2 linked regions of the Styela clava genome follow. Each later gene encodes a partner of the first gene's protein in a complex. Links are inferred from orthologs where the notes say so. Each region holds a gene or a part of one and is shown in the gene's direction. Other genes may lie near its edges.

The links.
Region 2: the proteins of DNA replication licensing factor mcm2-like (region 1) and FACT complex subunit SPT16-like are in contact, whole or in part, in a crystal structure (PDB 8YJF), measured with the Homo sapiens proteins. The link is inferred for Styela clava from reciprocal best matches to the Homo sapiens genes MCM2 and SUPT16H. Residues at the interface, in NP_004517.2 of Homo sapiens: Ile73, Gly74, Asp75, Met77, Tyr81; in NP_009123.1 of Homo sapiens: Gln898, Ser899, Leu900, Asn901, Lys904.

Annotation. Positions count from the first base shown.
Region 1 is NC_135252.1:13,315,827-13,323,014, forward strand, and holds the start of DNA replication licensing factor mcm2-like, read left to right. Parts: upstream 1-4,180; 5' UTR 4,181-4,280; coding exon 4,281-4,439; intron 4,440-7,188. UniProt on the Homo sapiens protein: Acts as a component of the MCM2-7 complex (MCM complex) which is the replicative helicase essential for 'once per cell cycle' DNA replication initiation and elongation in eukaryotic cells.
Region 2 is NC_135262.1:5,714,760-5,722,304, reverse strand, and holds the start of FACT complex subunit SPT16-like, read left to right. Parts: upstream 1-4,529; 5' UTR 4,530-4,586; coding exon 4,587-4,652; intron 4,653-4,882; coding exon 4,883-4,981; intron 4,982-5,106; coding exon 5,107-5,190; intron 5,191-5,294; coding exon 5,295-5,438; intron 5,439-5,983; coding exon 5,984-6,076; intron 6,077-6,450; coding exon 6,451-6,597; intron 6,598-7,032; coding exon 7,033-7,184; intron 7,185-7,530; coding exon 7,531-7,545. Other genes in the region: ATP synthase F(1) complex subunit delta, mitochondrial-like, read left to right, coding at 3,715-4,230. UniProt on the Homo sapiens protein: Component of the FACT complex, a general chromatin factor that acts to reorganize nucleosomes. The FACT complex is involved in multiple processes that require DNA as a template such as mRNA elongation, DNA replication and DNA repair.

The DNA of each region.
Region 1 (7,188 bases):
CCCGTTTGTATGTAGTGCAATTACCGGTCAAAGGGACTTCAAATGTTCAGTGCATAAAGATGTAATGATAGTCGCTAAATGCATGGTCCCGTTATTTTACCCAGAGTTGTGCTGTTTTAATGGGCATGAAATCTCCAAATGGTTCTGATATTTCATGTATTGGCCTATGAGAGTAGCGGAGGCCAACGTATTTCCAATTCTTAATAAAATATACCAATCCAAATGCCCATTGTGGGCTATATTTTATGAATTAGAACAACGGAAATCTTAATAGTTCAAACAGAAAGATCTTTTTTGTCCCCTATTGTTCTTTTGTCATACTTATTTTCTAAGCGCAAGGTAAATGGGCTAATGCTGTGGTAACTGAACCGCCGTTGACGCCAGACTCAACAACACTTTGCTCCACGTAGCGCTAAGTTTTTATTATTGATATTACGCTATAAAACACAATCACGATGGTAAATTTCGCATTGAAAGTGTGATTTGACGTATTTGTCAAACCGAAGGAAAAACTAATTGCAGACTTGTAACAATATACAAATTGCTAATGGACAATGTGAAATGATACAAATGAATAAATAGAAAAAAAAAATCTGAACAAAAATGTGATTTGTCGTTATTAGTTTAAGAAATGGATGTGTGACTCCTTTTAGCAGTGTTGTTGGACAGAAATTGCTTGTCTTGTTAAATGATAATCAAAGATATTTTATCTTTCATCCATTTATTGGGACACCTCTAAACATTCCCGACCATCTATTTTGGTGGGATTACTCCACGAACGGCGTATGATATGGTACTAGTGCCACCCTAATATCATTACATATTTGCCTTAATTATTGAATACCGAAAATAAAATAAAACAGTCCTTTTTTCAAAGTTACTTTTTTGCTATCGGGCCTTATACCCTTTGTGTTTCGATTTTTGTGTTCAGGGGTTTACATGGGGAAAAACGCCTTCACTCCTCACAACTTCAGCAATCTTTGTCTTTCTGATAAGAAAAATGCCAAATTTTGTGACCTATACCGTCATCCGTATGACGCGATTATTTTCAGATTCTCTTGTGGTTCATACCTGAATTGGATTTCTTGTCAATAGCGCGTTCCTGGCAATAAAATAATTATACATGTATGGCAAAGTTATTACAAATCATCGGTTTGCCGTAATATATTGTCTCATTTGTATTCATTAAAGTCGACTTGGAGGGCTTATATTCTAACCACAAAGTGATATTGAAATTTAATAATGTAAAACTTGATATTTATGTATGTGAAAACCTGTTTTGAACATTTTAGATATAACGTCTTATCGAGTCTGCTGTGAGATAAACTTTAATAGATCGTTTTGGTAAGTTCTATGGTAAGTTGATGGTGATGTGAAAAATTGCAATTAATGGGCAAATGGACTTCAATTGTTCAGCACATAAAGATGAAACGATAGTCGCTAAATGGCAATTCATTTTAATATTTTTTATTATATTCGATTCTCCGGGGCCTGTTATTTGATCCAACGATTTGCTGATTTTTGGACACGAAGTCTTCATATGGTTCTTATATTTCGTGTATTGGGCTTTGGGAGGTGCGAAAGTCAACGTATTTCTATTTCTCGATAAAATAAGCCATTCCAAAGGACCATTGTGTATGTGTCTTGTATTTATCTGAATCGGATTATTTATTTTTCCCGCGTTTATAAACATTGGATGTTGACGAAAGGAACATTTGACTCCGTTGACGAAAAGGGCATTTCGTGAATCGCTGCTCGAATACCTACTGTGTGAAGAAAGTTGACGTAGGATAGAATAGGATTTTCATATTCATTACAGGAGTGAAGAAAGCCGATCATATGTTTGCTAACGGACTCCGATAACGAAAGGGACATTTCGTGTATGGTTGCTCGAGGACATACTGTTTGATTAAATTTTCGTGGGATAGGATAGGATTTTCATATTCATTACAGTAGTGAAAAAAGCCGATCATATGTTTGCTAACGGACTCCGATAACGAAAGGGACATTTCGTGTATGGTTGCTCGAGGACATACTGTTTGATTAGATTTTCGTGGGATAGGATAGGATTTTGATACTTATCACAGGGAAATGAACCCGCACACAGGGTAATATCAGATGTGGTGGCGAGCGTATTCCGGACGCTAAGCACGATGCGCCACACCCACGAGCCGCGCTCACTTGTTCACATACATTTTTAATGCGTTTCTGTTTTTCGGTTGGTATAACAATAAATTATATTTATCTTCTTCATCGTGATTCCTATTTTTATCGATAATTAGCTGTTTAAGTTTTCAATGAATTGCACGAACGATTGCGGGTGTAAACAAATGCAAAAATTGAAACTGATCACCAAGCACGGACACCCTGAAAAATCTATCAAGACCAATACAAAAAACAAAAACAGAGAAGAACACAATTAAAACAAACGTTGCTTTTTTTTGTTTTGGCAGAGTTTGCACTCATTGTTGGGGCAGATTTTCAGCAAGTGCCCACAAAAAATTACATCGAACGCAAAATATCTTTCTTTCTTCATCTACCCTTATAATTAAACTACATTATGTTTTTTTTATCGTTAACTTTGTTGATCACTTTAACGTGAATGCTCTATATTCCAGTAGGAGAGAAAGATTTTATTACCACAAACATTGTCAACAGTGTGGACTCAACACTATGATACATTTGAAGTAATTGAAAAAATATATATAACTTTACAATAATTGGTTGATACCTATTTGTGAGGATCAGTATGCCAGACCAGTTAGGTCGCCGAGGCCTCTGGTCCATGCTGTATATAAACAAGGGAGCTGTGCTCAAATATGTGAACACGTCACATGGTGTCGCTATTTTTTATTCTGACACATAAAAAACGAATCTCTTGAAGTCCACAGAAATTTTTGAAATAAGTAAAAGTAATAGCCTTCTGGCAAAAAATCAAACTTTAACAACTGAAAATTTCAAAGCAATTGGTCCAGTATTTAAAGAGAAAGCGATTTCGTCATGACGAAAGAGAAGAATAATACTAACAAGAGAGCTGTGCTCAAATATATGTACACGTCACAAAGTGTCGCTATTTTTTATTCTGACAAATAAAAAACGATTCTCTTGAAGTCCACAGAAATTTTTAAAATAAGTAAAAGTAATAGCCTTCTGGCAAAAAAATAAATCTTTAACCACTGAAAATTTCAAAGCAATTGGTCCAGTATTCGAAGAGGAAAGCGATTTCATCATGACGAAAGAGAAGTATAATACTAACAAGAACAACAACATTAGTGATGAAATATCGATAAAATAGAAATAAATATTTTCAAGTTAATAATGCAAGTCGTGATGTTAATAGGTCACGTGGAGTTTCTGAGTCCGGCCAGGTCCATAGAATCAGAACAATTATCAAGGGCTTAGATTAGTTTTTATAAATATTTATAATAGTTTTTGTAATTAAATAATTATTGGACCGGGTCAGGCTTTAATACACAGAGAAAAAATAAGGAGGCAATCGGATTATCACAGATACAACAATAATGATAGATAGGAAGTACTATTAACAATGGCTTTTTGGTGGAAAACAATAATAAAGTACATTGTAGTAGTTTGTGTCAGAAGAAAGAAAACATTTGAGTAGCCTATACTTTTACAAAAATTGAAAGTGGCTCGTGACCTTTAATATACAGTTTTATTACGGAATGGTTAAATTTATAGTATTATAATACAGTGAATACAGTGTTCGGAACATCTACTTTAAAGAATATTAAACTTAATATTTTTATCAAGATAATCATTATTCAAGATATTAAGACAAATTTGAGTATTCAAGGAGGGAGAACTTTTTTCAGTTTCTTATCGAAAACATGCACATAACTTTTTTGGAACCCTTTACGGGTCGGGAGCCAAGAGCCTCTATTTGTTTTGCAGAATGACCCACATAAATTGATGTGGTCCAAAAATGTGGATTTTATACATACTACTGTATACACTTACTTGATAATGTCAGTAATAATGTTATTCATGTAATAAAACCTCTCCCCGGTCATGGATATGGGCGGGTTTTAGGAGAACCGTTGCGAATGTAAATATTTTTTGCCGCAACAAGTCACGTGTCTCTCAGTGGCGGGAATCAGCTGTTGTTAGAAGTCATGCCGCGAGCCTTTGCTGTACTTTTCGTTTGTGGTGCTCGTTCGTGTATTTGTCTGTCGTTTTCATTCAATAATTTCTGAATGTGTTGTTTTTAGTATAATTTATTTTTAATATAGCCTAGCCTAATTTGTGAAGTTATTTTCACTATGGCTGATGACAGCATGAACGGAATACCATCCGACCCAAGAACCCCTATCAGCGACCCGGTCAGTCCAAGCAGCAGGGGAGCGCCTTTTGCATCAAGTCCAGGAGGTGCAGAAGATCTTCCACCATTTCAAGATGAGAGTGAAGCTGATGCTTTATTGGTGAGTATTTTGAGTAAGAGTTTTCAGTTTGGAATTTACCTGTTGATTCTGTAAAAAGGCACCGAGCTAATTCAATTTTGCACGCCAAAAATTTGCAATTGCTCACCAATGAAAATCGGTTTAAATGGTTTTAAATCAATAATCCAGTACCGGTAATATAGAAAAGCCAACAAACTGTAGCTCTACAATTGTCGACTACATAACACTGAGCTTGCAAGATTCTGAGATTTGGCCTGATCGAAAAATGTTAGTGACGAAGTATAGAAATAATATTCGGAGTCAAAGGTCAAACGTCCATTCTGTTATGATTCAACATATTTTTTATTCAATAATTCTACGTAAAAACACTCCCAAAATTAACGGATTATTGACAAAGTATGTTCATTTTGCTCTGATATAACGTATTTTTTATCCAATAATTTTACGGGGATGTACTGAACAGTACCGGTATCAAGTTAATCACAGTATAATAAACTTATACTTAGGCTATATACTAAGTCGCACAAACACTCAAGATTAATGACAAGTATAGAAATAATGTTTATGGGTCAAAGGTCAAACGTCCATATTTGCTCTGATTCGACGTATTTTGTATCCCATAATTTTACGTGGATGTATTGAACAGTATCAAAATCAGTTGCACGCGGGCGCAGTTGTTTTGCACGAAGTAAGCTATAATTGCACGCCTGGAATTCTGATTTGCACGCCGGAATTTCTGATTGCACGCCCGATTTCTTATTCAAAACGGCCATGAAATCCAGACTTGGGTAGGGTGGTGTAGCCAGTCTGCGGACGATTTCATTCAAACCGCTATAAAACAAAAACCAATATTTCTAACCCGTAAAGGTGCATTGGCATTTATTCTACACGCTAAACCTCTAACTTTCTACGGCCAGGGGTTCTACGGTCATATATTTTAAGAACACGGTTATTTCGAACAAAACTCGTCAAATTATAAACAAAGCACCGCATCACAGCAATCAAACAGACAAAAACACGGTGGTCGCAAATTGGTCGACAAAGATATTATCGGCGTATTGGAAATGCGCTCCCCCTATTCCTACTCCTTTGAATGTAAAAACGCGAAACTTTAAAGATAGTTAAAATAAACACAACTCTACCCACCTGCCAAGTTTCATCTTTCTATCTCTTATATTTGTATGGTTTTTCAAGCTTTTTTGAAGGGACAATGACTAGTTGGCGACATGGAAAATGATCCCGTTTTTTTTCTTCGGTCGGGTTTTTGGTCGTAACTTTTTTGTTTGTGGCCGCATTTTAGTGTAATTTCGCAGAGCTACGAGGGATAAGTGGACGATAACGCGTGAGAAATATCGTCGCGATTCGTTAATTTTTTCGGCAATAATTTAATCGATGAAGTTGATGGTCGCAAATAGGTCATGGCCGCAAAGTGGGTAAGCCACCCTAGCTCTAGGTCAGTCTGTAGCTGCATAGAACAAAAATATTACTGGTCTATGAAATGGAATCTTCCGGTATATCATCACCCTGTACCTGAAAAACTAATTTAGTATTCAAAGCAGTAAAATCATTCCTCTAAATACAAAGCGATGAGAATGCATACTTCATAACTGTCATAATTTTTAAATGCCAAATAAACACAGAAACAGGAATCCCTATCAGTCTGAAATAAAAATGGGTCAGAATACGGTATGGCGCATTTATTCGATTCCAAGAATAGCCACATTAAAGGACATCAAACCCCTCATTTATGAGACAGTCTGGGCCCCGATATTGGCATAAATTGGCAAAGCAGCTTTGCACAATATACTAAAAGGAAGTGCAATCTAAAATCGTCACCTTTGGATTTCTTGGTTTAGTTTAAAATTTACTGTAAAATTTTCAGCAAAAAAATGCAATTTGGGTCATGTGACGACCCCGCGATTAATAGGCTTGCACGTAATTGACAAAAATCAATTCCGTAATTACGGCAAAATCAATTACGTAATGACCCCGTAATTGCGATATTTTTCCATGCATTTAAACCTATCATAACAACCAATTGAATCCTCTTCTTTTCCGAATGGAACATTGAAGTTGGGTTTTCATATTCTTGGCAGTACTACACGCCGTCGGCAGATGTTAAAGGCAAATATCAAGGAGTGAATTCAAATTAATTTTATTCTGATTTTTATCTTTTGTGTTAGCTTTGGTTTTCCTTTATCACCTTCGCAAATTAACCGTCCCATTTTTATGCGATCAATTTTATTTTATTATTACCGACACTGGTATACGGATATTTATGGAAACGATAGTTTTTTAAAACCACCTTAGTGCTGAATAAAAATTACGGGTTTCTAATTTATTAACTAACGACGAGCGTATTCTCTCGTTTGATTATACTTGCGATTTCCTCGCGACGAAGACTTGTTTTTGCAGCGTCTTCTGCATTATCCGATATTACTGCCTTGTTAGCATTTTATAATAATAAATATTGATGTCGACTTATTGACGATATTCCGATTACCATGTTTCATTTTACATTCAATCATTTCGCGGACTGAATGTTTATAACATTATTTGCGATAAATTTAAGATCAAATATTATTTATTTGAGTATAATTTAAATATGGAACTTATATGATATGCCTTCTCCGAAAACACAAAGTTATATCGCAAAACAATGCATTTTGTGACATTTATTTTACACTCACGACATTTATTTGCTAACTCAAGTCGTCGATCCTATCGGCCAAGATTGACACAAGTTTGGTCGAGTGCCGGTGGTATTCAA
Region 2 (7,545 bases), on another chromosome or scaffold:
TACTGCATTTCTGAAAAATCTTTCCTGCATTAATAACGGGACTGAGTCTTACTATTCACTCTAAGTAACTAATACAAGTCAGCATTCAAAAATTTATAGGAAATTTAATAATTGCATTAATTACGTCCCTTCCGCTAGATGGGCATCATAAGTGAATTTTCGTGTCTTTGAATTTCAAATTTTACAACGTTTTTAATTTTATTACCTTAATTTTTGTTGCGGTCAATGCCAATGCTTCGATCTTGCCTAAAAAATCTTAAAAATTATGGGTATTAGAACCACCTAAGGCTACTTTGTCAGTCTAAGCACTGAATAATTTATAATAAAATATTATTTGCGTATGTTATTTATGATATAGCCTAGAAAAAAATAAACAATTCAAATATTCTTTCATCGATCCTTCATCCCCTTCTAACAGCGAATATTTCCATCGTGCCATAAATCCCGAATTTACATCCATTATTGTTTTGGTCAAAGACAACTTATTTATTGAAATATGTACGTAACTATTGCGACGAAGCAATGTCTTTCCATTCGCAAACCCTCTTGGACAGAAGCTATCGGCGTCTAAGTTATTTACCAGAAGCATGTCGGGTGTTTAAAAATGTAAAATTAGGTTTTTTGTCAACGGATTATCTCTAATGCCCAGGGCGTTGCAAAATACGGCGGTGAAATCCAATTTATACAAAAAGAATGGATTATGGGGATAGGTGATTGTGCAAATTTTGATTTAAAAAAACAATTTTACATCGACATTCTGATGAATATATATATAAAATAACTCCGCTTGGGTACAAGAACATGATAACACACACACTAAAAACTGTTTTGCGCCAACTGGTATTCCATTGCGTTGGTCGTTTGGGACGATAGACGAAATTGTGAACAAAACAAAAAATACGTAGTATTATCGGCTAATATTCATTGCCAATAATATTATTTCCCTCCGTTGTATTTGGTCGAGTTGTGTAGACCTACGTGTTGCCATTCTAATAACATGCTCTAATCCATATTAAAGCAAATCAATATACGTAACCTACGTATACAGATGTAGTTTGGTAATTATTTACGACAAGTTCTAGTTATTAGATTCCCCGCTTCTCGTAGTTCGTTCGAGAATTAGGAACTTGAAGTCAAAAATAAGACTAACTTCGAAAACGTTAAACCGTAGAATTTGGTTCACGTAGATGTCAAATAGTTGTACTGGGGTTTGGAACAAATTTTTCATTTTATTCTTTGGTCGCCTGTGTCTAAACAGACACACGCTCTTGGTATGATACCATGTAGCCTAGTTGTGTGTTATATATTCAACTTGATTAAATCAATAGAACTCTTATCTAAACTGTTGAACCGAGGATTACCGTACTTTCGGAAAGTCAAAAAAGTAACGTATCTAGCCCATCTGAGGTCTTCTTTTCAAAAAGATGTATAACCTGCACTCCAACACACACCTTATATGAAGAAACTGCACAACGGAAGTCTATACTTGACGTTTGTTGGACATAACCGGTATGATAAACAAACACGAGAGTCACTTTCACTATATGATCAAGCAGTTTTAGTGATTTTTCTTTCGGTGGATAGCACTAAACCCGTCCCAAATAATACATTGTTTAAATGAAACTGTTGGGTGACGCTAGAGCCCGAAAATTACAGTCATTACTGGTATGTATTTGTAAATCTGTTTGTTCTCTGTTTTTTGTTTTTTTTTGCATTAACGATTCAAAAATTTGACTCACGGTCATCGAAGAACAAAGTAATTTGTCATAAATTCAATCCATATTTCGCTATGAAATCGCGCCCATTCGCATTTTCAACTAAGCGATTTGCTTTCGAATAAGAAGGGCTCACAGAGGTCAAAGAAGATCTGAATGGTGGCGCTGTCGACCAACTGGTGTTGGCGGTGCTTTTTGCCAAATTGTGCCGTGATTTCGTTCATGTATTTAGGATTGATAAAAAATGTAATAAACTCGAAATTGTATTAAAAAATAATTTTGGTAAGACCAAGGCTAGAGGGAAATCAGAATATGGGTGAGATTTTTCTTTTGTCTCGGTTGACACTTACATCTGTACACAGCCTACTGCTGTACTGAAATGAAACAATGGCGGCATGGCATTGTCAAATTAGGAGGTCTGGAAGTTATCAGGGCGGGAATTCTGAAATGATTGTACTGTTGTATAACTTAAAAAAAAATTTTTTTCTAGAATTTGCATCTTGAAAAAATTGTTGAGAGATTTTCCATGCGGAAAAAATGAGACACATTTGAATACCTTAAATCTTGCCAGTTGAGCAAGTGAAACTAAGTTTCAGTTTAAAAATCAATTTCTTTTTGCATTGCAATTTTTGGTTATAAGTATAAATGTATTTAAACTCAGTAATCGACATAGAAGACTTTAGAATACTGAAATAATTGATGAAAATTAAGAAATCTGCAAGCAAACGATTTTTGGCCATATTTTTATGAAACGACCTTTTAAAAAAGATGCATTCTTTTGCATCTTCTTTTCTTTTCGTATTTTCAAATATTTTGACTACAAAATACCTCCATCATAATACACAAGGTTACCCCCCGCAAAAAACCATTTGCACAAAAATCCTTTCCTACAAAACCACATTCTCACAAAATTCTATTCCCCAAAATTTCATCCACGAAGAAGCTCTCCACATATTCTGTATTTATCCAGTTTGGCACTGCGGCACATTTTGCTCGCAATACAGCGATATGTCATCTCCAGTCTTTATAATTGCCATCGATACTCTCAACACCATGTCTGTATGTGGTTTCAACTGGTGGTCTATGTCGGACATCTTTTACCGCTATTTTTGTTTTCATTCGTTTTGCGTTTTTACTCCCTTTTGGTTATATTTGCTTTCTTTATACTTTTGGCATTAGCACTAATGATTTTTTTTTTTCAAAAGTTTTGAGACAAAAATTTACACAGATCATCGCCATATTTATAGTCATTTTTTATTTATGCTGGAGACATTTAAAATAAATAAATAATTAAAATAAGATCAAGTCCTTACAAACACCTCACTCCATAGCCTTTGTATACCTCGTGCAGCTGCTCTAAAATTCAAACCTGCTGTCTATGTCCAACAGCCATTCATGGATGAGGCCATAAAATGCTATAAGTTTAGAGCTTTTCTACCCATCATGTCTATACATCTGGAATAATACAAAAACAGCCAACTAACCCAATAATTATGTGATACATAAAGTCTTAGATATTTGTTAAATTTGAACATGATATTTTTATCATTTTCATAACATTTGAAACGAGAATATCGGTCTTTCTGACCTAAGACTTATCGATCGAAAGTTAGGGGATCCCCCAAAACAGCGCTCTTATTCCATAGTGACACCTTGTGTCCCATCACTGATTAATTAATAACTCTCTAATTATACGGCATAATTCGCCCGAAATCAATAGGCTTCTGGTCCGAGATATGATGAATGCACATGCAAAATCTGGAGCAGATTCAATCTCGCTTTCGTGAGATATGGCGTGCATCTAACATACAGACAAATACCTATCGACATACTTACCGATTAAAATCAATAAGTAATGATGCATCTAATTATCGGGTATAATATAATTTTCGATAATATAATTTATCATTAAAGTTAAATGGGAGTGTAGATAATGCTTCTAAAATCTTGCTTTAGATTTATTAGTATAGTTTCGTCAAGCTATAAAAAATAAGGAACTATGGCGTCTCTTGCTGCCCGTGTTTTTTGCCGCACTGGACTTGTAGCTCGACGTTTGGTGGCTCAGAGCACAAGAACTTACGCAGATGCTGCACCGGCTGTTGCACAATCAGAGGATATGGTTTTTACGTTTGCATCTCCAGTAGAGGCCTTCTACAATGAAAGCACTGATGTGAAACAAGCTGATGTACCCACCGGGGCTGGGGTCATTGGTATTCTAGCAAAGCACGTTCCTATTTTCGGAGTACTTAAACCCGGTGTTCTAACCGTATTCGAAAAAGATGGAAAATCAAATAAGTTTTTCGTCAGTAGCGGATCTTTTACGGTGAACGAAGATTCTACGGTTCAAATAGCCGCAGAAGAGGCCGTAGCTTTGGATCAACTAGATGTCAATGCCGCAAAAACAAATTTAACAAAAGCTCAAGCGGAATTATCGTCAGCAACAACGGATATTGAAAAGGCTGAAGCGCAGGTGGCAATAGACTGCAACGAAGCCATCATCAGTGCCGCGTCATAGAGACTTATTCTGTTGAAATTCAAAATTTTATGGCTTGATTTATGTTATATTAATCCATTGGTGTATCTGTTTGGACTATCTTTATGACAATGAAATTCCATTTCAATATCCTTTTGTGTTTATTTATTCTGTTCTGACTTATGTCTAACCATACATAGACTAGGTAAAATTGGAAATTTCAATTCGAAAATTGCAACTGAATAATTTAATTATCTAATTATAGTATTTAAGAATGACTATCTGAATTGCTTAGAATTATTTTTTCTGAAAATATCTTATTCCAATATAACATGAATCACAAGTGTTTCTGTTTCTAGCATAGAACCAACTAATGCTAATAATCTAAATTCATCATCATGTCTGTTTCCTTGGATATAGAAGCTTTTTATCGTCGTCTCAAGAAAATATATACTGCTTGGAAGGTAGGGATTATGCTTAAAATTTCATTTAGAAAAATTCAAACGTTTTTGATCGCATGCATCCATTTTGTTATTGTTTATGAATGATTTGTATCGGTATATACTCAAAAACGCATTTTGTGTTTCCCAATTGAAATTTTATAAATTGGATTTGATCGGTATGTTATATTTCATAATATTTACCGTACATATATTTTCAAAATGCTAACAAGCTGAAGACTTTTTGAATATAGGATGCTAGTGGAGATGACGGATTCTCTAAATCAGATGCTGTTGTCGTGGCGATGGGAAGTGATGAAGATGTTGTTTACTCAAAATCTACAGCTATCCAGGTCATATCTCAATTTTGATTTTCAAAATCTTAATAGCTGAATCACTAGCAAATTGTTGTTGCTTAAATCAGACTGCCATTACTGCAGGCATAGCTTTATTAAGATATTTTATATGCTTTTTTTAGACATGGTTGTTTGGATACGAGCTAACTGATGTGATCTTGGCTTTCTGTGAGAATAGCATATCGTTCATGGCAAGTAAAAAGAAAGTAAGAGTTTTTTGTTTGTTTTATATTCATTATATTTAGAAATGCTTATGTTGAAATATTTTTGATTTTTTGTCTTTTGTTTGAGAAACATTCTTTTTGTTCAGATTGAGTTTTTGAAACCAGCGGCAAATACAAAGAACAATGAAAATGCGAATGGAATTCCTGAAATCAACTTAATTCAGAGGGAGAAAGATAACAACACTGAAAACTTCCAAAAAATCATTCAGTTCTTAAAGTCGAGCAAAAATGTAGGTTCATAGTCACAGTCAAGTATATTTTTTCCAACCAGTAATATAATATACAGATACAAATGCAAAAAATATGCAAAAAAGTAAAGACCATAATTTTACTGGGGAATGGAAGCCGCGGCGAACCAAAGTCGGTTATCGAGCAGCGGTACCCAATGTTCTGCTATCTAATTAAGATTTAGAAGATCAATATATTATGTTTTGGCGAGAAGTTCTTGTTAGATTTTTATTCCATGTTTAAAATCATTATTTCTTGAAAGCTTTTCTCTATTGTTATTTATTCCAGACATTGAAACATCCATATAGTATGACAAATTAATAAATGTAACAAACCAGTAACTAGCAATAAACGATTAAATAGTGTATGAAATTAATAAAATATTCAGACCATACAACATAGAAGAACATAAAATAATGAAATAAACTCACCTAGATCTGTCTATTAGACCTACCTTATTTGTGCTATTTTATGGTTAATAACTTTATATGCTTTCACGGGTTCTTGAAATGAAGCTTATACTCAAACTAATTTTTCTTCATTACAGGGTAAAACAATAGGAGTTTTTGCAAAAGATAAATTCTCGTCCAAATTTATTGATGCATGGAATGAAGTGTTGAAAAAGTCTAACTTGAATAAGGTATGTCACAGGAATGCTCCTTTTTTGTTATTTTACTCTAATTTTCTACAGTATTTTTTTCTTCAAATATAATTCAGATATAGGCTATTACTTTTATTAATTCTCTGGCATTTTATTTTTAAAAATTTACAAGTTTTGTACTGAGAAATCAATTATATGGCTGAGCTACTATTTTTATATGTATACTGTTTATATACTTGTTTCTTGAAGATATTTTATTCATTTCTATCTGTATTTCTTCATGTTTTATATATATACAGGGTGAGGCAAAAAAAAAAACTGTAAAACAGTTTACCAATGTGGAATCATAACTTGATAAAAGTCTGTCTCTGTCTGTGAGTCTCATCAATATTACTTCACCTTCATAATTTTAGATTGATGTATCAGCAAATGTGGCATCAATAATGGCAGTCAAAGAAGAATCGGAATTGAATCTACTGAGAAAAGCATCAGGAATAACCTTGGAAGTTTATAGCAAAGTTTTCAAAGAATATATGAAAGATGTTATAGATGCTGATAGGGTTCGTACCGTGTTCAAGTTGATTTATTCACGAAAAACTCTGCATACATAATGTTCCAAGAGAATTAATCTTTGCTATGTTAAGGTTTTTCTATGTTCTGTCCAGATGATTATTGATGTTTAAGAAGGACTTCTTTGGAATTAAGATATGGTGTTGGTACAGTGAAACCATGATAACAAATTGGCGAGATCTCATTTCACGCATATGGAATGAGATTGTATTCACCTGTCGCTATAAACTCCTGACTTTATCTTATTCAAGCATCCTTGTAACACGAGTCAAATAACAGATCCTGCAGAACATAAAACGTAAAACGAAGGATGGGCAGTTTATCGCACAACCCCCTGCGCATTTCAAAACATGATATTTGTCTCTACACTCTAGCCATCTCTTTAAGAATCAACCAAGATGACTATACTTATGCTAATTTTCCAGAGAGTTAAGCATTTCAAAGTAGCGGAATACGTTGAAAAATCTCTTGAGGACAAACAGTATCTACGTGGAGCAGATCCAACTTATGTGGAGTCTTGTTATCCCCCCATCGTACAGAGTGGCAGCAACTGCAACCTAAAGTTCAGTGTTACTAGGTAAGTTGGCCAGTTGTTCGTTTTCGAAAGCATGGGCTTGATGGTGGAGGAAGCCGTATCTGACCAGCGGTTACGTGAACCACCCTATGTCGGCGAGAAGTCAAGCAATCCTCTCGCACATAACTATCCCCGCATGAGATTCGAACCTGCGCACTCACACAGGGTAACAAAAGGTGAGGTGGCGAGCGTATTCCTATTGCTTAGCACGATGCAACACACCGCCGAGCCAAACAAAGATCAATTAGATATCAGTGGTTGTACAGTGCCTTGTTTGGAGCAAAAAGCATTATCATCTGTTTTATGAAATATGTATGTGTAATCTGTATCATCCTGATATTTTACTCAGTGACAAGAATACCCT